3 linked regions of the Drosophila melanogaster genome follow. The protein of the gene in region 3 interacts with the protein of the main gene of each other region in a pairwise test. Each region holds a gene or a part of one and is shown on either strand. Other genes may lie near its edges.

Region 1 (6,107 bases), on a different chromosome or scaffold from region 3:
ACGAGTACCAGGACAAGCTGGAAACCCAGCCGGAAATCAAGGAGTCCGAAGAGGACAAACCAAGTGCACCTCCCAATGCCTGCGGCGACAATGAATCCTTGCTTATTGAGCTTTCCAAGCAGCTGGAGGACAGTCCTCTAATAGATGCGCCGCTGGATGAAGATATACCTGCCCAAAATAGCACTAACAAGCTATGGTCCCGCTTGTTTAGCCAGCAGAATCAGCAACCCATACCGAGCCAAGTAGCCACGGACTCGAAGGCAAGTGCAGGTGGCGCCACCCCGGTTCCCAGCAAATCGCAGACCACCAACAATCCCTGGCTGGATCTTTTCGCCGACTTGGATCCCTTAGCCAATCCGCAAGCCTTCGATTTAAAACTGAGCGGCGGACGCAGTGTGGCCGAGCAGACCTGAGCAGATTACCCTCCCGCACAGATTATATTTGTTGATCTGCATATACCGTTGGAAACTAGCTAGTCAAAATGGAGAATCTTTGGATGTAACTTTTCGCTAAACGTTCAAAAACTTTTTATGTTTTATTTAAATAAAATTTATATGGGACACAGCAGCTAGAAGTGGATGAGGCGGACGAGAGGCAGGTAAAGTGGAGCAGGAGCCGCACTCATTTGACCGCCGCCTGTGCCTCCTTCTTGGAGTTAACCAGCTCGACCAGCTCTTTGACGCGACGTAAGCAGTCCTTTTTACTGCGATTCGGTATGCAGGCGGCGATGCAATCCCAGCGATCGGGTGTCGTCGTTGGATAGGTTTTAATGGCCTGTTCGAGCAGGGCTTGCTCCTCCTTGGTCCAGGTTTTGGAGGCAGCACCGCCGCCCGTAGACCCATTTGTGGCCGGAACTGGGGCTGGTGCAGCCGTGGGGTTTGCTGGAGCTGGAGCCGTGCCATTCTGCTTGGTTGACTGATTGTTCGCCTTATGATCTACACCGTTTTGTTTCAAGTTCTCCTTGCTCGCCTGGGCCGTCTCCTCGCCCAGGGTTATATCCTTACACGTCTGAACATCTTTCTTGGACTTCTCGAAACTGGCAAATGCCGCATCGTTGGCTTGAGTCTTCAGGGAGCTCTTCGAGTGATCTGTGTTCTGGAGCGCCTTGGCTTTGTTGAGCACATCCCTGGCATTGACCAGAACAGTGTTATCCGGGCTATGCTGGTTAATGAAAGTGGCTATGACATCCCAACGCTGTGCAGTGCCAGCGGGAAACAGATTAACCGCCTTGATAAGCAACTGCACGTTCTCATTGCTCCAGAGCTCATTCTTCTTGACCTCCTTAACGCCTTTTGGCGTGGCCGCTGAGCTGGCAAGCTTCTTGGCCTGTGTCTGGTTAATCTCCTCCAACTCGGCAGCTATCTTCTGCTCGGCCGTTTGAAGGGCAGCAACAAACGACTCACGGCCCTTGCTTTCCATTGCCTTATTTAGAGCTTGCAGCTCTGCCAGATTGAAGGTCTCGCAAATCTTCTCGGTGCCCTCCATGTGCTTCAGCTGATCCTTGTCGTTCTTGGCATAATACTTGCAGTCCTTGACCTTGTCGCGCAGCGTTTTGCGCTCCTTCTTAAGCAGCTTTTTCTGCTGCTCGCGTTCGATGCGGATCTGCTCGATGCGTTTCTGCTCGGCCTTTTCAGCCTTCTCCTTGGCCAAAGCCGCTTCACGGATGGCACGATCAGCTTCTGCCTTCTGGGCCTGGGCGGCGTCCATCTTGGCTCGCTTGGCAGCAGCCTTGCGATCCTTTTCCTCCTGCTTGAAGCGCTGAATGCGCTTATCATTGTTGTAGGCTAAATCGACGAGCGACCGGATACGAGACATTTCCTCCTTCTTGCGCTTGATTCGAGCCGCCCTGTTCTCCTTTTCGATCCAGCGACGTTCGTCGCGGTCCTGGCCCTTCTCCTTGTCCTCTTCGTCCAAGTAGCTGAATTCCCGCCATGACTTAAAATCGTACCAGAAGTTGTAGAAGCGCTCCACCTCTTCGCGTTTGGCGTCCACCTGCCCGAAGGAGGGAACATGCGGCTTTTCGCTCCAGCGCCCGTTAAGTGTGAAAAATTTGTTAAATACGCCAAAGTAGTCGTTATCGATGTCGTTCTGTGAGGGCAGCGAGTCGTCAAACTCGGGATCCACTGAGTCAAAGCTGCGGCGCGGCTTGGATGTGCCTGGAATACAAGATGGAGTATTAGATGGTTTAAGAGGAAATAGTTTAAAATCTTCCTGTCTATTTCGTACAATTGTTTACAATTATTCAAAGTGTTTAAAGCCAAAAAAATTCTGTTGTATAATAGTAAGTTATAATTTGGCATTTTGTTTAAAAGAATGTGAGAGCAAACAACTAGTCCTATTTTTAGATATGCAAAAATAAAGCTTCAAGTTCTGCGCGCTTAGACAAAGGCAACAGCACACCAATGAATTAGATCGAGTATAAATTAGTTTCAGATAATTTAAAATCTTAATTGATTATTATACTCAACAGGATTGTATGGTATCATAATTTTATATAGCTTAAGCAAATGCTCTGAAAATTAATATCAAAATATTCTTATCTGTCGATTTGCATGGGCAATGCGAAGTCCGAAGGACACCCAAGGATCAGCAAGGACATTTTCTTGACACCCACCCAGTATCTCGTAAGCTTTGGTTATGCATGTGAAGTAATCATCGTCCTGGATGACTTCCTCGCCCTTGGCTTTCCGCTTATCGGGATGGTGCAGCAGAACCATGCGCCTGTAAGCCCGTCGAACATCATCCTCGCTGGCCTCGTATCTAAAGGGTGATTTAGTCAGACAATACAGTATTAGTTGGGGAAGTCCCATTAAATATTGATAGAAACGAACACATGGGAAGAACACCACGTGCTGCCGTCGCACTAACCGGAGCTTGCCCAAGCCAAGAACGGCGTAATGATCCTGGTCCTTCCACTCCTTAGGATCCAGCGACTTTAGGTAGCTGATGTCCACCTCCTCGCCCACGCCCTCCAATTTCTCATCGCTTTCGCTGCGCTCCACGCCGCCGGGAGCTAGAAATTGGCGCCGTTGCGCAAAGTAAGCGAAGCCAACGCGCTCGATTTTACGGCGAACGACCTTGAGCGGCAGCTGCACCTCCACCGCCGTTGCTACCGTACCGCTCGTCATCTCTGGTCAGGTCCGCTGGTTAATGGGCATTCACCGCCACTCCTGTGGATTCACGTTACTCAAAATTTGGCGATCCGCTGCCTTCAAAACGTCGAAATCCAATTAATAATCACACTTTTCCGCAGCACCGCATGTGTTTCGACTAGTGGTGGTGAAACATCGATGCCATCATCGATTATGGCGCTGGTAAAATCGATTGGCTTCCTACTCTATATTTGATCGATAACAGCAAGCATGTATCGCTGGCACTTATTGGCAGTGCTGCCAGCTGCTATAGCTAAAATCGAATGGCAACTGTTGTATTGGTTTGGCGCCAAAGTGTGACCGTATCTCAACTAATGGTTATTTATGATTTATATATTTAGTTAACCGTCTTAACAAATTATTAATCCACGTTCATTACATAACAAATCCTACACTATTAAATACATTCCACATTCGAGTTTTTGTTATAATGGGCCACTAAAAAAAGAAAGTGTCATACAATAGTTAAGAAAACGACTGTTTATAATTCATTTGAATGATAACTTGACGTATATTCCAAAAACCATTAAGTTCTACCATTTGTTAGTTTTGCTTATCACATTTATTTATAACGAATTGTATAATTACAATTAAAGTGCTAAATAAGTGCTGGCTGTATAGTAATACACCTTTTATTTGCCAAAATCCATTTCACATTTCAGTAACACTTGACCTCATTACATTTAGATGGTCGTAAAATATTTTATACATAAGTATGCTTACTTTATTTACATTTCCGCTCTTTGATCAAAAGAAACGGTTTGTACAACTAATATTTGGTTTTCTAATTGATTACTGGCTGTTAAATTGACTATTAGTACTAGAAAACTAGTTGGTACACATTATGGTTGAATTGAACGAAGCTAGTAGGTTCATTGGCATTTCGTATGGTTGGCTTTTGTGGGAAGATCCAAATATCTTACTCTAAACAGATTTGAAACGCACACATATAAACGACAGTTCTTAAGTTTAACGACTAGAATTGTGCTGAGATAAATGTAATTCTTGCAACTTCAAGTATGGTGATTTAAAAATTCTACTAAGTAGCTTCAGTGTCGTTCTCCACCATTTCATTTCAGTGTTAAGCCAAACTTTGAAACATATGCCGGCGTAACTCCATTTGTATAAAATCGTTCCAAAAATAAATTCATCAGACACTCTATCGCCTTGAGATCGACTTAGACCCAGTGAGTGCGCGTACTCGGCTATAACGCATCGTTGTGGCTCTTCGATATCGTCGTCTCGATCTGGTCGATCCGTCGGAACGAGGGCATATAGCTAGAGCTGGCCTGCGTGACGATCGAGTTGTTGGAGGAACTCTAAAATATTGAATAGGAAAAATATATCATTATATAAGATAGGTTCTAGAAAATACTCTTTCTAATTAAACAGAATCATATGAACAACTTAAATACTATTTGATATATAATAATTTTTGAAACACTACGTATTGTACCTTTTTCTGTCGATATGAACGTCCCCGAACACGGGTTGTATTCCGGCGCACAGGATTGACCGTGGTGGACTTTTGGGATAACCGGACCGAGCTGAACGTGCTTCCCCGATGTCCTCGACGGATTTGCGGCGAAGGAGTGCCCGTGGCTTAAGCATTAGAATCAAATTAATGTTATAAGAATTTTAAGTTACCCGAAAGGAACACTTACGTGTTCCGGCAATGGCTGTGCTGCGTTTGCTAGCCTGAAGCATTCCGAAAACCACGGCACTGAAGGATCCATGATGGGAGGTCTGCCGCTGAAGATTCGGGGTTTGGGCCAGGGGAATCCCGGCTGGCATGCGAACCGGTGAGATCAGCTGGCTCTCCGATATTCCCTTGGGATGCACATAAAAGGTGGTCATCATGCCCTTGCCCTTCACAGCGATTTCACCACGTTTCTGTGGGATTTTGAAAAAACGTATAAGAATTCGGGATAGGTAACAAAAGACCCACTTACCACACACGTGTAACCCCTGGAGCAAAGCAATTCCGCCGTATTCTCCGGAACCTGAACTCGCCAGTTCTCGCCCGTGGAGTCCATTCGTGATGCCACATTGACCGTATTGCCCCAGATATCGTAGACCGGTTTCCTGGCTCCAATCACTCCACTTACCAAAGGACCACTGCAGATGCCCACACGCAGCTGGAAGTTATTGAAGGCATCCCCATTGATCTCCTCCAGCTTTTGCTTCATGGCAAATGCGAACTCCACCAGGTCGCAGACACTATCCTCGGAGGTCTCGCCGCGAAGTCTGAGATGCTCGTGATTTAATCCCGCTGCCGCCATATACGTGGCACCCACTGTTTTGATTTTCTCCACCGATGCGAATCGTGGCTCCTCCAGCAATTCATCAAAGTCACCTGGTTTGATTTGTGCCGTGCGGCATCATTAGACATTTGCAACCGGGAGACAATGCTTAATCAATCAACTCACAGATAATCTCATTGAGAATACGTATACAGGCCTTGCCATTGTCGATGTCCTCGGAGTAAAAGTCCTGGAAGTTCGGAATGGAGGCGAACATCACGCCGCAGAGATTGTGCATCTTGGAGTAGAGCTCGTCCGTGTGCTCGTCGGATAGGTAATAGGTGGCTACATGGTCCGGCAGAATGTTCTGCAATCAAATGGTTTAATTAATGAAAAATGCAGAGGAAGGAGCAGGTAGACCAAAATAGAATTGGGTTACATTTTCCCCTTCCTATTTCATGGTTATTATCCCCTTTTTTGGCCCTGTGTATTTGACCAAATATCTTACCTTAATTAATGTGTCATTAAGCGCGCGATTGGATTTCATGTTGGTCAGTTCACGCTCGGCTTGTTCCTTCCATATGAAGTCCAGACGCGAGGTTACCTGGGGAAATCGGAATGAGTGATGGGTCGAAAGCATTGGTCGCACCTTCTCTTACCTCCACCAATCTAGCATGGTAGCAGACCATCACCAGGAAGGATATTAGCAGTA
Region 2 (5,596 bases), on a different chromosome or scaffold from region 3:
ATAATTTCATATCATTTTATTGTATGAAATGAACTTCTAGAGCTAGCTGGAAAATAGCCAGTTTCACAGCTCTGATCCTAGGACTCCAAATTCGAGACTGAGAAATGGAGTTTGGAATGATTGTGGCAGTTCCGGTTTTGGGTCGCCATCGCCCCCATGGGACTTGACACAGGCCATCTCAAGGGGTTAGAGTCTAGGGGTTAGGGGTTAGAACCAGATGTTAGCCGCCCGCTTATTGATGCGATCGCATTCATTATCCCAGAATGAACTGGCTCAAACACGTGCCCCCTAACGATTAGAAACTCATTAAATATATGGTAATGAGCTGAGTTTGCTTCCAAGAACATGAACTACACTTGTCAGATGTCAGAGGTTGTGGATCCATGGGGAGATGTCCACGCCCAAAGGGAGCAAATGTCAACTGATCTACAGTGAGAAACCTAGCATATTACAACAAAAAGTAGAACATACTATTCAAAGGATAAAATGCAAAGGGTTTTGGAGGTTTTAATTATACTCAAAGCCTATTTAGTGCAACTTTTTTAAGCTCGCCGAGCAATGCCCAAAATGACTGCAAATGCGCTTAATGAATGTTCCGCATCAGCGGTCGGGGATGTGATTTAATTAAAGAACTCAGGGGAAACGACGCCACACAATCAAGCCGAGGCAGTGAAGCGTTTTCCCAAACCCGAACCGCAATCATCGGTATCCACGGGAGGAAGCTACTGGTCGGGCTTTCAGATCAGTCCCCGCCGCATCCTCCCGCAGTCGCTGCTCCTGGGCACCTACTCCCATACCATATAGACTCTTCCATTAAGGCATGTACACATTGACGCGACGTTTTCCTCCTCGGATCTCAAGTGTTTGCCTGCCTTTCGTGGCCATCGTCTGCGCCTTTTGTTTTACTGCCCCTTCTGTGATTTTAACATCTTGCACTTGCGGCCCGCGTCTGGTGGGCTTTTCATGTTTAGCTACCGAAGTAGATGGCTACCGGTGGCCGTTAGTCACGCATTTCTGCACCTCTGGTCCAGAGTCTGGGTTTTGGTTTGGGTTCGGGCATGAGCATGGGTCTGCATCGGCGTCTATATCTTTTTCGACGTCTCCTAGTGAGCAAACAATGCTGGCGTACAAACAGAATGTCAAAACATCGAAAGCATGTCATTAATGGACCAAAAGTGCGGGACCTCCTAGCCGACTTATAACTTCTTTTCAGCTCGGACAAGTGGAAAAATATATATTCGTGTATGTCCTTTTGATACTTTGCCATAAAGAGGCTCAAGCAAACAAATAAATACTTGAAACTAAGTGGGGAATACCATTATAAAAGATTACCCATAGTCAGTCACACTTGTATGTCACTCATAGAAATTGAAAACTATTGGCAAATTATTTCAAAAGATGATCTAAGCAATTCGAAATTTGTAAAAGTAAATCGACGCATGCCAAATTATTCGATTGCGCACATGTTTGTCAACAACTGAGAGAACTGATCAAATCTTTACACACTTGTGTAGCGTAGTTTTCGGCCATAAGGCCATGTCTTGCACTCGCATTTTGCTTTTGGCCCAAAGCACATGGACAAACAGAGACACGGACACTTGGAGCCAAAAGTGAAGACCGCACGACAAAGGCAGAAACATTACAACGATCATTAGTTAAATTAGGAGCCTTGGCTCCGGAGTTTGGGATTGGGATTGGGGTTATGGGTTTTGGATTTTCGGTTTAGGGTTTTGGGTTTTGGAATCGGGTACGTGTGCGGACGTCGGCGACATCATCGAAAGTCAAACAAGTGCCGCGGCTACCGCGAGGCTGTCGATCATGCGCCAAGCGACGGCAGCCTTTTGAAACGAAAATCAAAAGCAAACATCTGCCTCTTGATGTTGCCCAAAAAAAAAAAAAAAAAAAAAAAGAAGTTGGTCCAGCGAGCGATTGTGTTTATCCCAAGCAGTTAGGGGATCCGGATAAGGACTTGGCTGGAGGATCGGACAAGAGGGCTTTATTGGCAAAACACTCGAGTGGCGGGCTTAAGTTAAGAGATTTAAGTGAAAATATAGTGCTACTTTTGAATTTGTCTTTTCGTTACCTTATATTTTAAGATAGAGAGGGAAATGTGATTTCAAAAGTCTTATCAATATTTCCTGCAATATACATATTCTTGTTTTTCTGATTATATTAACCCAAATCTATCAATAAAATAGCTACTACGCTTTTTAAAGAAACCCAATGCCGTCGGCACCTCAAAAATGCCGATAGATCTAAAAATTTTAATTTGGAAATGAATTCTGAGGCCTATATCTTTGTGAGTCATGGATTGAGACATACCTGGGTCCATTTCGGCCGATGGCAATTGATTGAAGAACTCCAGAATTGCAATTGTGGGCACCCAAATCTGCCTTTCGCCAACTCCGCCGTGGAACTTTCTCCGATTGGATTCGCCGGAATAGTTGGACTCTGCTTTGCTGGGGATTGTCGGTGGTTACCTAGTCGTTAACTTTTCGCACTTGGCTATAATGTGAGTTTCAATTAAGGCATGAAATTTGTATACAAATTGGCGCCAGTTGTGCGGGACAGCATCGGGCTGCGATGCCTACTATGCCGTGAACCAAGACTGAGATCTGATTAGCACATTTTCGGGCCAAAACGATCGCTCTCGAGTAGGTTGGCTCGAAAATTATCACGCACTTATCACACCTTATTGGGGAAGCGGGAACTACACACACTTAATGACACTACAATGGGTTTGTTATGCTTTGATTTTGGGAATTATGTCGGTTTACTTTGGACTTGACTGGCGGACCTCCCGTGCGATTGATGGTTTGCAAATGAACCGATTTAAACAGCATTCACTGATCCGTGCGCGCGCCTTTAAATCTTTCGATGGCCTTTTTGCTCTAGCGTATCGGGTCGTAGCGTATCGGTTGGGAACGGTTTGGATCGGGAAAACCTGGCGCGCTCTCCAAAAACGATCGTTGCTGCTCGTCACCCGTGTCTGCTGCGACTAACGCTGCCCGCGGCGCTGCCGATCAAGATCGCCCACAATCCACGTCCACGCACACATTGAATATCACCACCACAGCCACAGTCACATCCACATCTACAGGCTCAAGTGGAAGTGGAAGCCACCGCGTCGACGCAGCATCCCAAGATCTCGCTCTCTCTTTTTCTCACTCTCCGCATTCTCCTCCGCAAGCACACACACACTCATCCGTGAGAGGAAGGGGCGGTCGGTCGAGCGTATATGTGGGTTTTAATGGCGATGATCGCGCACTGGTGTGCGTTTGTTGGTGGACCGCGGGCAAATAATAAAAATGAAGAATGTCTTTCAGCGATCAGGAGCGCAGGCAGCGAATTGAGGGTAAGCCCAGAAGAGTTAAGGCGCCAGTAACTTTGGTATCGAAATATCTTGTAAGTGTTTAAAGTAAAGGGTTCATATAAATTAAATATTTTAATAAAGAGATCGAATTCAGAAGTTTAGAAGAAGGTTTTTAAGACTTTATTACATCAAGTTATACACAATAATCTATACAATTTTTTTATTATTTATCATAACATATTTCCGTTTTCTTGCTGATGGATAATAAACTAAGCTAACAACCCATCTCTCCTTTTTTCCCCAGTTACCGCTCCTGTAGTCGCTCAACTTTGTGTTTGTGTGCCAACGGATGTGTGGGTGTATCCATGGATCGGAATTCGTACTCTCGCTCTCTCTCCGCTGCAATACCTACACAGACGAACCGAACCGAGTGAGTGAGCATACGCAACCGGGCGGAGTTAATTTCTGAATGCTTGAATGGCCAATCTGAAGCAAGTAAGCGTATCCGTAGCGTTACGCAGGGTGGGCGAGCGATGTCATGACTTCTTAGTGTCACACAGATGAGGAGCAGACGAAAAAGGAGCCGAGGGAGAAGGATAGAAGGAGAGAAACGGAAGGAAAAGGAAAGGGGCGGGGCTGTGGGAATTCTCGGAGCGCGTGCATCTATTTTTGGTTCATTAAGAAAGCCATATCGCTAATAAAGCGGCACAGACAGCTAACCCCGTAGATCCCCAGGGATCCACCTCCCGGCCAATGCGGCGTATGCGTGATGCCAACTCTCGCTGAGGCGTTGCGTCTTGCTTGGTTAGAGTTAATTATAAGAAATGCCGTCTTCATCTGATTGTCACTAATTCTGAATACCGCCATTTAATGATAGATGCCAATTGTCGTTGTCATTCCCTCATTAAAATGGTCAAATCGCCGCTCTTGCTATTCTTAATGTTGTGCTCGCTCTCTTCGCTGGCTGTTTAGCATGGCTGTGTGTGCACTTAGTGCGCGTGTGTGTGTGTTTTGGCCCACACACACTGTTGCGCGTTGGACACACCTCCTTGAGTTGGCTTACGCTTACCTGCTCATACCTTTTGTTGCGAATCCAATTGGCCCTCTCCCTGTCACTTTCTGATTTCTGCTCATTGCCGACTGCATTTCCCTGCATTTTGTGGTTTGACGAACGCCATTTCCGACATTGCCTTTGTTTTAAAACAAATAATTCTTATAGTTACAATGTACTTTAAAAAATTTAAACTAAACTCTCCTAATACAATTCATTATTGTTAAATTACTTGTCTTTTTAATTTTTTATAATTTTTATATAAATTTTAAAAACATTTAAAATGTATCTATTACATTGGCATTTTGATTTTGTAATAAACATAAATACATATTATTTAAATAATATTGTAAAAACAATGCATTTTCTTGTTCAGTTTTCTACTTACTTTTAAGAACGAAATGATTAAAGGGAAACACAAAATCATCATAGAGTAAACAATTTTTTTCTTTTTATTTAGTAATACTAGATAGATAATAATAGATCAAGTTGAAGAGCTTTATTTAATCATTAAAAACAATTAAGTAAATCTTTTAATAAAATAATCCAAACGCTAAGAAGTAAATCTCCGATACGTAATGGATCGACTTACAAAATAATTGGCCATATGCGAAAACCAAGAATTCTTCCCCGGCGGCCAAAGCTTCAATTTGATGACTAAAGCATTGGGGATAAAGAATTGGGGGAGCTGATGACAAAATTGTCTCCGCGTTTAACAAATTGGGTGACAGGCTTTGAAGTCGCCGGCAGCCAGCGACAAATGACAAGCATAACAAATGAACACTGTGCGTTTTCCGCTTATTTTTTTCTCCTTCACGGATACTTTCCAGTTGTATCTTCCTGTGTTATAAAACAAGCGGGAGTGGAAGGAGTCGATGTGGAATCTGCCAGGCACTTGAGAAAACAAAGGAGCTAACACCAGGGACTTGGGAAAAGGAGTCCAAGTACCAGGAGCAGCATCGTATGTCATAAAGTGGCAAATGCGCTATTAAATTGACACATATAAGTCAGAGGAGGAGGACAAGTTACATAAGATTGCGCCAGATGGGCGGGGACTATGCACTGGGAAAAAACACTTTGGAATTATAGATACAGAAGTTTGGATATATGTTTTGAAAAGAATTTAACTTATAAAGTACACCTTATTAATTGTTATCAATACATTTTTTCATTTATTATTCGTATAAAATTATCATATTGCACAGTCCTTTAACAATGGAAATCGCCGCTTT
Region 3 (9,232 bases):
GGTCACACCATATGTTTAACATCATAAATCAACTAAATCTCACATCAAATGCCATAAAGCTAAATGAGTCCATTATCAATGTATACATGTGAAAACACAGTCCATTACCAGAATGCAATAGTAGTTTCAATACAACCCATGTTTCCTTTGACCATCAATACACGCCAGCTGAGAGATTAAAGTAAACATTAATTAACATTTTATTCATTTCGATGTAAGCTAAGAGTAAGAGAAAGATTGTAATTAGGGTTATGATTAAATAGTACCTTCATATTGTTATTTTTTCGGTCTGCGAAATTTACTTTCCTATTTTAATTTAATTTAAGCTTTACTGAAGTTAATCACATCCTGTACGAACACAATCGATTTCTTTGGAAAACAAATCTAAACTAAATTTATAGCTCTATTCGCGTACGTATATTTAGGTTTTGAAACTATTCCTGTAATTGTAAAATCTGTAAATAATCTGTGCATTCAGTGCATGCGAGTCAAACAAAAAATGAGAGACAAGTTTCGAAGGATAGCGGACTTGATATTTGTTTGACTGTTCCAAGCTAAGTTTAAGCCGAAAGTTGTTCTTAAGACTAACCCCCAATACAACCTCCGAAGTGGGGCACTTCCTAAAGCCCACGACCTTAGTCCCTGATCCAAACCAAAAACAACTTAAAAAAAAAACTGAGTTTAAGATTCAATTTAAACCGAAGAACATAAAATCAACAAAAGACTTGAACATGCGCAAAAAACATATAAAAATTAATTTTAAAAATAAATCCTATTTTGCTGGCAAACCACACTTTTGGTTCGAAATTTACAAGAATTCAAGAACTAAAACGATGCACCTTGTGCGGTTTATGTTAGGCTCAAGTAAGCGAAGTAAGTGTCTCAGCCATAAAGTTAGGGACGAAAGCATTTGCAATGTGTATTATTCGTGAATGGATTGGATCATGAGAGATATATAGAATGTCAGAGAGTTGAAGAACGAAAGGAGGAATGATTTACTTGGGTGTAATGTTAAAAACAAAAGCGTTGAAAGTGTAAACAGAGTCTAACTTTTAGCTTTAAGCTGCGTTTTTAATGGCACTTTAAATAAAATTACAAAAATAAAATCAACCGAAAATATTTGTAAAGAATTTTCTGCGGTTTTTATTCACTATCTTCTGGTGTATTTTCAACTATTAATTCATTAAGTTTGCTTGGGCAAGAACATAAAATTTATTATGTAAGTTTATTTTGGGTCATAAGACTTGGTGCTTTCGCCACATCAAAAGTCTTCTATGTTGTTCAGGTGCATTCGTCACTAGTTTATAGGTGCGTCTAGTTGTGTTTTTGTTTTACTAAAATTTGAACTTGTTTGAACTCAATTTAATATATATATTTTTAAGAGTTAATAATATATTAGTCCCAAGAATAAATCCGTTAACTTACCTTTCTCTCATTCAAATACGAATATATTGTTACCAAATAAGTTTCAGTGAAAGTGCAGATATTTGGTAATGCTTTTATTGTATTCGATTTACATTTAGACGTGAAACGATTTAATTGTTGCTTAAGTATGGTAAAACTGCATTGGAATACTCTTCTTTCTGCTATTAACATTGAATGCCTCAGTCAGTATATTTGGAGTCTCTACTAAAAACACATCTAGATGTCTAAGATCGTTTGAGTAATAGCAAATATTCATATGCAGATTATAGAAATACAAATGCTCTAAGCTATAGCAATTTGACCTTGATATGTATTTGTTTAACAACTTGATATGTTTCAATATTGAAGTAATTCATACTCAATCCAATTCAATTGCTGTTTGGCTACTTTCCTTCGGTTTAATGAGCTTTGCTACCCGAGAACTGCGATCTTCAGTTGCGTCGATGCTGTACGGGAATATAATATAACTCAAATTCGTATTTTTGTTTTTGGACTATATCCATACCTCTGCTCCGACCATATCTACACAGTCGAAGGCATCGCGAAAGTAGCCACAGCTCAGCTTAATGGCTGCCCGGTGGTGCAAACGCTGCTGTTGACAGCACATTCCGCTGGAAAGTGGGACAGTTAGACCTGAATTGGGCTTATCAGCGCTATGCGGACTCACTTGATCACCTGGCAGTCGCTGCTGCTGCTGCACTCGCTGCCCAGCGGTTGCCTCTCCTTCGCTCCGAATATACCCTCCAGCAGCGACGTGGATCCTCCCGATTCCACGCTCGGCTCACACCGCCACGCTCCCTCCTGGGGGACCAGCATGCAGGAGCTGCCCTGCGGACAGTCCGCATGTCCCTGGCACAGATCTCGCTGACGCCCAAAGACATATACGCATTTGCCTTCTGCAAAATGATAGAGTTTATATAACATTTTTGTAATGGGTTGTAGAATAGCATCAGTTGATGTAAAAAATTTATCCTTATTTTTAAGGAAATAGTGCAATAGATAGAAAGAAACCTTTCCAACACCTTAAAGTACAATAGGCTCTTGATCCAGGTCAATAGCCAAGTAGATCCTAATGCTAGTTTCAGTCTGGTGTCCACTTTCTTTCAAATGTTTTAATCCCATATTTAAAATTTTGTTTGTCTAGGATGATTCCAAGTATTGTCTCATTAGCTATTGTCAGCATTAGCTATTCCAAGTGTAAGTGAGTGGGTTGGGTCACAGCGGACCAAGTGCAATTAGACCAACTTACCGCCGTATGTGCTGACGCAAACTCCGGAAGGACAGCAATCGTCGTTGAGGAGGCAGGGTCGGTCGGCACAGGGCGTGTCCTCAATCAGCGGCTCCACGATTCCGTAAACTTCGGTCTGTTGGCGCATCTGTGGGGAAGGTCGAGTGCGGTGGCAATTAGTGTGGCATTTGTTGGGCGCACGGTGCGTATGCGCTATATGTATATCCCCTTACTGCGCTGCAGCAGTTGGTTGGCTATCAATAACGCTGACACTCGTTGCGCGTTAATTAATTTGAGTTTCAGCGCGAACTCTGAAATTTCCGTTGATTGAAACCATTGATCCAGTGGGCCAATAAAACCATACAAGCATACGGGTTCCAATTTCAAATTGCTGCAAAACACGGCGCCAGACGCCTTCGGATATTTGTGGCACGCCCACACGGCGTATGCGTTTTCAGATGTGTTCGAGTGGTGCGATTTTTATTGAGTTTGGGAGTCGCCTCTAGCTGCTTAAGCCAGGAATCTTTTTTCCATGCATTAAAAGATTGCCATTTTTCAAGAGCACACATTCATTTGAATTTTAAAATCGTATGCTCAAAAGATTGTTTTTAAATCAGAAAGTAAAAGAGTTTTTTTCATGCTTTTCTAATAAATTAAAATTACTTGAAATAAAACTAAATCTTGAAAATTGTCCTGTCTGTTGGTTTAGACAATTTACAATCGAAATAGCTTTTCAGCCTTCCTTTAAAAACTTCGTTAGATAAACGAATCCATTTTCCTAGCTGCAGACATTGCCCATCATCCCGTTTTACTGTACACATACCCTGTAGTTTCGTCCTGCAAATACCTGCAATCACAACCTCCACTCATGCACTCACCTGCTGCGGCGGAGGATGCGGCTGGTGCTGCTCCTGCTCGACGGCGCCATAGGGGCCCAGGTATTCGTCAAGGCCCAGATCAGCGGCTCCGGAAAACGGGGCTCTGCGGTGCATCAAGTTGCGCGATTCCCGGCCAAATAGGGCGCGCTGCCAGGCGTTTCCGGATGCGAACGAGGATGCGGACGCCGCGAGCGAGGGGTCCAGCTGGTGGGCCAGGCCCAGGAGCAGCAGCATGGCTGCCCACCTCGGAAAAATGCTCATAGTGGTCACGTTAGTACATCATCACTAGTGGAAAGCCCGCTCTCCTTCTCCCGATGAACTGTGAAAATGGAAACCGAGTACACGCTTAATTAAAACGTATGCCCGCCCAGGAGTCGATTGCTGACCTCCGGGAGGAGCAAACTTCCGTGTTCAAGCGCTCGAGTGGAGCGTGGGGCATATAAATCTCTGTCTTCCAGCTCAGAATCGCATCAGCGGTTCTATTAACGTTTTCCCGGCAAATATCCCCGTCGGGCAGCTCATTAAAATTGTCGGCTTGCTTTTAGCGTTATTATATTACCGGCTGTGCCTTAATTTATGTATTCTCAGACTTGGTTCACTCTCGTGTCTCCATTTGTATGGCCTGATGAAAGGCTCACATATAAAGTCGGTGGGTAACAATAAATTATGCAATTTTAGCATATTGCCTACTTTTGCACGTTAGCTTAATAAGCCATCAACCAAATAAGCAAAAATCGTTAATGTATGCCGAAGGTATAAGTTAAGAATCGTTAAAAATTAAAGGAAATGGAAACTTAGCTTATTCAAGTATTTCATTAAACTCAATTAAAGATGCACATTTAAAGAATATTCATATTTGCAAGTTTTAAAAGGAAATTATAATACATGTGAAAGTTGAGCCTGCCTGGGAGAACACGAAAGCTCAAAGTGAATTTTCCTTTCATTTGCTAAATGTTGTTAATTGTATTCAGTTTCGTGATGACTTCCCCCAGGAAAAGTAATTAAAACAATTTATGCAAAAGCTTCTAGCAAACGAATGAACAGTCTCAAACAGCTTTTAAATAACTTCTAATGTGGGTTACGTTATGCGTACTAAGTCGACTTAGTGGTAACTGTTCGTCCCTCAACTGAAATAGCATCATTTTGGCCTTAAAATAGAATCGAGCTAGATTGTTATATATAATTGCCTACTTATTGGGGTGGCACTTTGTAGCTGCACAGACGACCTTGATACTTTTGGCTTGATTTAGACCTTCTTTGGACGGTCGATTGACAACAGTTGTTAACACTCATCCATTAATAAGTTAGTGGGTGAAAGGCAATGGGTTCACCGAAGGCCAGGGAAAATATTTTCCGGCTGTCACACGAATATCCGGCGTGGGAGTGCAATTTCATTAATGTTCCTGCCTTCGAAGGCGGTTCAGGCCAATGTGGTTGACTAAACAAACGCGGAGTCCCTTTATGATTCTCCTTTAGCATTTTTATAATTACTTTCTCACACTTTCACTGGACGCGGCTCGTCAAAGTTCTTGTCGTCCCAGTTCGCGGGTTTGTTGCCAAGCATTTTGACCTTTTGGTTGCCGAGGACAGGAGTCATCCATAGCCTGTTATTAAATCTTGACTAATTGAGTTTCAGCCCAAAAAGGGCGTCCTGTTTTTTTAACCCGTTAGGGAAATTGAAATTGATCCATGTGTCTTTCGTCCTTTAATTTACCAAAGTGCTCATGCTTGCGACGTGACTTCTTTATCCGCTGCTAAATACTTCTAATTGCATTGGGCCACTGGAAAGTTTTGCAATTAGTATTTCTTCTATAGTTACAAATTCTCCGAAACTTTGCCAATGATTGGAAGGTGGCTTTAGTTTGGAAGCACTTTGGCGATGAGTCGATAAAAGTTCCTTAATTGAGCATAAACTTTACCTTTTCCGAGAATTATGCTTGCTGCGAACCTTGGCCCTTACAAATAAGATCCTTTGCTGTGATCATTGCGATAAATATTCTATTGAAAGGGCTAATGTATTTCTTAGAAGGGAATATAATCAGAAGGTACACCAGATGCCATGAAATATACAATTGTTTATATATCCATCTGTATGTCTGTCTGTCCGTATGAACTATTAGATCATGGGAACTATTAAAAGTTGGAATAAGTAATCATTCATATTGAAGCGATGAAGTTGGCATGTCTGTCATGCGTCGCATTTCTATTGCAGAATATAAGTCGGAAAGGACAGAATTGGACCACTATATTATATAGCTGACAAGTTAAAATTTGCAAAATGTATTACTAAGGATATCAAAGAAATACTAGATTCGTTGTTTCTGATCATAAAGTCTTCTCTTGGGAATGCATCAGTTTTGTTAAGTATACAAGATGTACATATATAAGATGCGAATAACCTTGGGATTGCCAAGGTTCTGAAGTGTGCTAAAAAAAAACTTATATGCATGATCTCCACGGACAAATCAACATTTCTTATACCTGCTTAAGCAATCGTATTTAAAAGCAACAAGTTTAGTGGAAAGCAATTCAACTCGACAAAGCACCACTTTACGCCATACCAGATAAAAATGATCAAATGAAAGGGATCAAATCCCAGCCGAATTAGCTCTAACTAACGCACTGTGCCGGTAATGGCATTCCATTTTGTGGCATATCCAGTTCCATATCTACGCTTTAGCCTGAACTCAACCACTCAATTCCACCTACGCTCGACCCACTTTAAAGTGCGAAAAAACGGTTCGCGGTGGAAATTAGACCATGATTTGCCGTAGTTGACTGCGACACGCCCGTGGATGCACTTAAAGTGCAGGTGCACAGTTGTCCTGCGCCATTCCATGGGCAGGAAGGAGTTGGTTATACCAATACACGTGTCAACTTTCACTTTCGCCGCACGCGAACGGGGTGGAGGGATGGGGTCCTTATGGCGCACAACATACCTGCTGGCTGGGCGTCCTGTCGGCTACTGAATGTCTGAAATGGCTCAAACAACACCTGTCGGCTAGCTGCCGGAAAGGAGCTTTTTGGCTACGAAGCTTTTAGTTGGATTTTTATGAATTAAGTGTGTTTGTGGCGCAGTCAAAGCTCCTAGGATTCAGTTTTAATGGAGTCTCCCCTCCGCCCGCACCATACCCCGTGTATGTGTGTTTTGAGTTTTGGCTGCGGGAGTTTCGGCCATGACGTCACTGTGATTTGTGGCAGCGGTGCAAAATTAATGAGCCTCCTCTTGTTACCAAAATGGGATCCTTGATTCGGAGTGGCTGTCCTGCAGGCAAATCTGTTAAATGGAAAACACGCAATTTGCTTGCCCCAACGAGATAAAAAGAGTCTGCCCTCCAGGACATTCCGTGCATCAGGATAATGAGAGCTGTATGCTCATGCCACTCACTCTTCGCTCTGAATGTTCGATGAGGAAATGATTTTGGCCACGTGGAGTGGAAATAGCGTTGCACTTGTGTGTACTTTGTATAATTAATTTACGTTTATTTGCCAGTAAATTATGTTTAGTGCTGCACGAGATGAGAATGATCTGTATTGAATGTTAACAACATCTTTAGTTAACTTAGATTTTATTTCAAATAGAATAAAAGTTATTGCTCAAAGACTGGTTTTCAGTTTAGTTTTTAAAATATACGTTATTGGTCAGGGACTACATATAATATAAAGATTTATCTCTTAACAGTGAATTACTCACACATGATATAATATTTAGGGACACAAATTATGGAATAAATAGCTGGTAAAATGCTAACAATTCTGTGTGATTAAATAGAATAATGAAGATGGTGCCAAAGGATTGTGGCTTTAGTGTCGATTTAGCAGCAGCATTGACATCTGGAGAAGCTGAAACAGAAGCTCCCAGGCGCAACCACATACAATATTCCCAATGGGGAAAAGCTAGGGCTGACTGAAGTGGCAACTTTCAAAAAAAGGAGAGCAAGCTCGCGTGGCGGAAATTGCATCAAGGCTACAGCTCAGTTTATGTCAAGAATTCCACCGCTCTTTGAGTTTTGTAAAGCTGACATTCAATGCTAAAATACATACATAAAAGTTTAACCTTTAGTTACTTTTAAGGCTAGCTACTGGAGAAAATTCTGAAATCATAGTTTACAAATGCAACCCCTTTGTTTGTTTTTACTAAAATGTATGTCGTTTATTTCGATTTTTTTTCGATTGGTTCGTTCACTTAACAATTAACATATTTAGATAAAAGAATTAATAATATAAATCGATAAATTAGTAAATTCAATTGAACTAAAAACATTTGCTCTCGCTCTCATTTGAACATAACAACAATTTGCCTATGAAGATAACAATTTTTTTAGTTGAATCAAACGCACAAATCGTCGCGCTTCCTCACGTCACGTCACATAAATAAATAAATAGTCAAATAAATAGGCTTAGAACTAGAATAAATATGTCTTATCCCTACGTTTTGCAATCAGCGTAATTCTCATTCAGACTCTACAAGTGTTAGGCACGCGTACTCAAAAAAACGAAATCTGCAGTCATCCTCAAGCGAAATGTCGCTAACTCGGAATGTGGAAATACCCGGCGAATGTCGTTTGAAATGCTGCAGTTGATTTTCTATTAAGCTAATGAAATGATGGTAGCATGGAGGGGGTTCGAGGAAGGGGTCCGAAGATGCGACGTCGCAAAGGATGAGCCAACTTTCCCACGCTTCTAGCCGCGACTCTTAAAACTCTACGTTCTATTTACACTTGGTGCTCCTGCCTCAGCAGTTAGTTGGCGCTGGCCATCTCTGGGATGGGGAGAAACTTGAAAACTGTGGAGGCGACTACCTATTTCACGCCCGTTATGCTGCGCAGCCACGGCTTGTAGAAGGTGGTGCGCATATAGACACCTGGCAGATACGGCGCCGCACACTTGATGCCGTGGGAAACGGTTCCGGCCAACTCGTAGCGTCCATCCGGTCGTTGCAGCACCAGCGGACCGCCACTGTCGCCCTGTCGGATAGTGAGACGGATTAGGGTACATTTTCAAAAGAAAAGAGTTCACCGAGCTTACCTCGCACGAGTCCTTTTGTCCGTTGGCATAGCCGGCGCACAGGAAGGAGGTGAGAATCTTCTTGTTGTGTCCAGCGGTGTGGAACATCTCCTGGCAAACGCTGTTCTCGATAATCGGCACCTAATTTAAATTAGCCCCGGGTCAGTTCGCAATTTAAAGGACACTCTGTTCACTGCGTGCTTACCTGCACCTCCTGGAGAACGGAGGGAACTCCACCTCCGTACTTAAGGCGTCCCCATCCCGTCACTGTCGCCATGCGTCCAGTGAAGTCCGCCACATCATTGGGCATGCAAATGGGCACTGTTGGCGAAAAGAGGAATAGATTAGCCCTTACTAAAGTATACATATGTATATGATATGAAACTCACCTATATGGGTATCGAATTGCACTGGACTGTCCAGTTCCAGCAGGGCCAGATCGTTTTCAAACGTGGCTGGATCGTACTGCCGGTGGACAATGACGCGCTTGACATTCTTGGTCACTGAACGCTTGCTCTCCAGGTCGCCGGAAATGTCAAACTCGCCCATAACAGCCACCAGAGAGGCCAGGAATCTGCGGAGGATTCAAATGAAATCCCTGAATTAAGCCCACCAAAACCATAAGTTTGAGTAATAGCTTACCCAGGCTGACAATGGGCGGCGGTGATGACGTAGCGGCTGGTGATTAGGACGC

The links. The genes of interacting proteins can lie anywhere in the genome.
Region 1: the proteins of spab (region 3) and CG10565 interact in a two-hybrid assay, tested with the Drosophila melanogaster proteins (one large-scale study listed by BioGRID).
Region 2: the proteins of spab (region 3) and Poxm interact in a two-hybrid assay, tested with the Drosophila melanogaster proteins (one large-scale study listed by BioGRID).

What each region holds. Positions count from the first base shown.
Region 1 is NT_037436.4:21,132,750-21,138,856, forward strand, and holds CG10565 (uncharacterized protein), read right to left. Parts: upstream 3,605-6,107; 5' UTR 3,129-3,604; coding exon 2,869-3,128; intron 2,761-2,868; coding exon 2,615-2,760; intron 2,157-2,614; coding exon 622-2,156; 3' UTR 501-621; downstream 1-500. Other genes in the region: ICA69 (islet cell autoantigen 69 kDa), read left to right, coding at 1-413; Ac78C (adenylyl cyclase 78C), read right to left, coding at 4,358-4,471, 4,609-4,754, 4,817-5,045, 5,105-5,508, 5,582-5,762, 5,904-5,999, 6,055-6,107.
Region 2 is NT_033777.3:8,330,793-8,336,388, forward strand, and holds the start of Poxm (Pox meso), read right to left. Parts: upstream 3,001-5,596; 5' UTR 2,333-3,000; coding exon 2,323-2,332; intron 1-2,322.
Region 3 is NT_033778.4:8,961,685-8,970,916, forward strand, and holds spab (space blanket), read right to left. Parts: upstream 6,501-9,232; 5' UTR 6,471-6,500; intron 3,851-6,470; 5' UTR 3,793-3,850; coding exon 3,532-3,792; intron 2,802-3,531; coding exon 2,675-2,801; intron 2,322-2,674; coding exon 2,093-2,321; intron 2,037-2,092; coding exon 1,931-2,036; intron 1,872-1,930; coding exon 1,857-1,871; 3' UTR 1,480-1,856; downstream 1-1,479. Other genes in the region: flz (filzig), read right to left, coding at 8,334-8,498, 8,560-8,679, 8,744-8,859, 8,928-9,112, 9,181-9,232.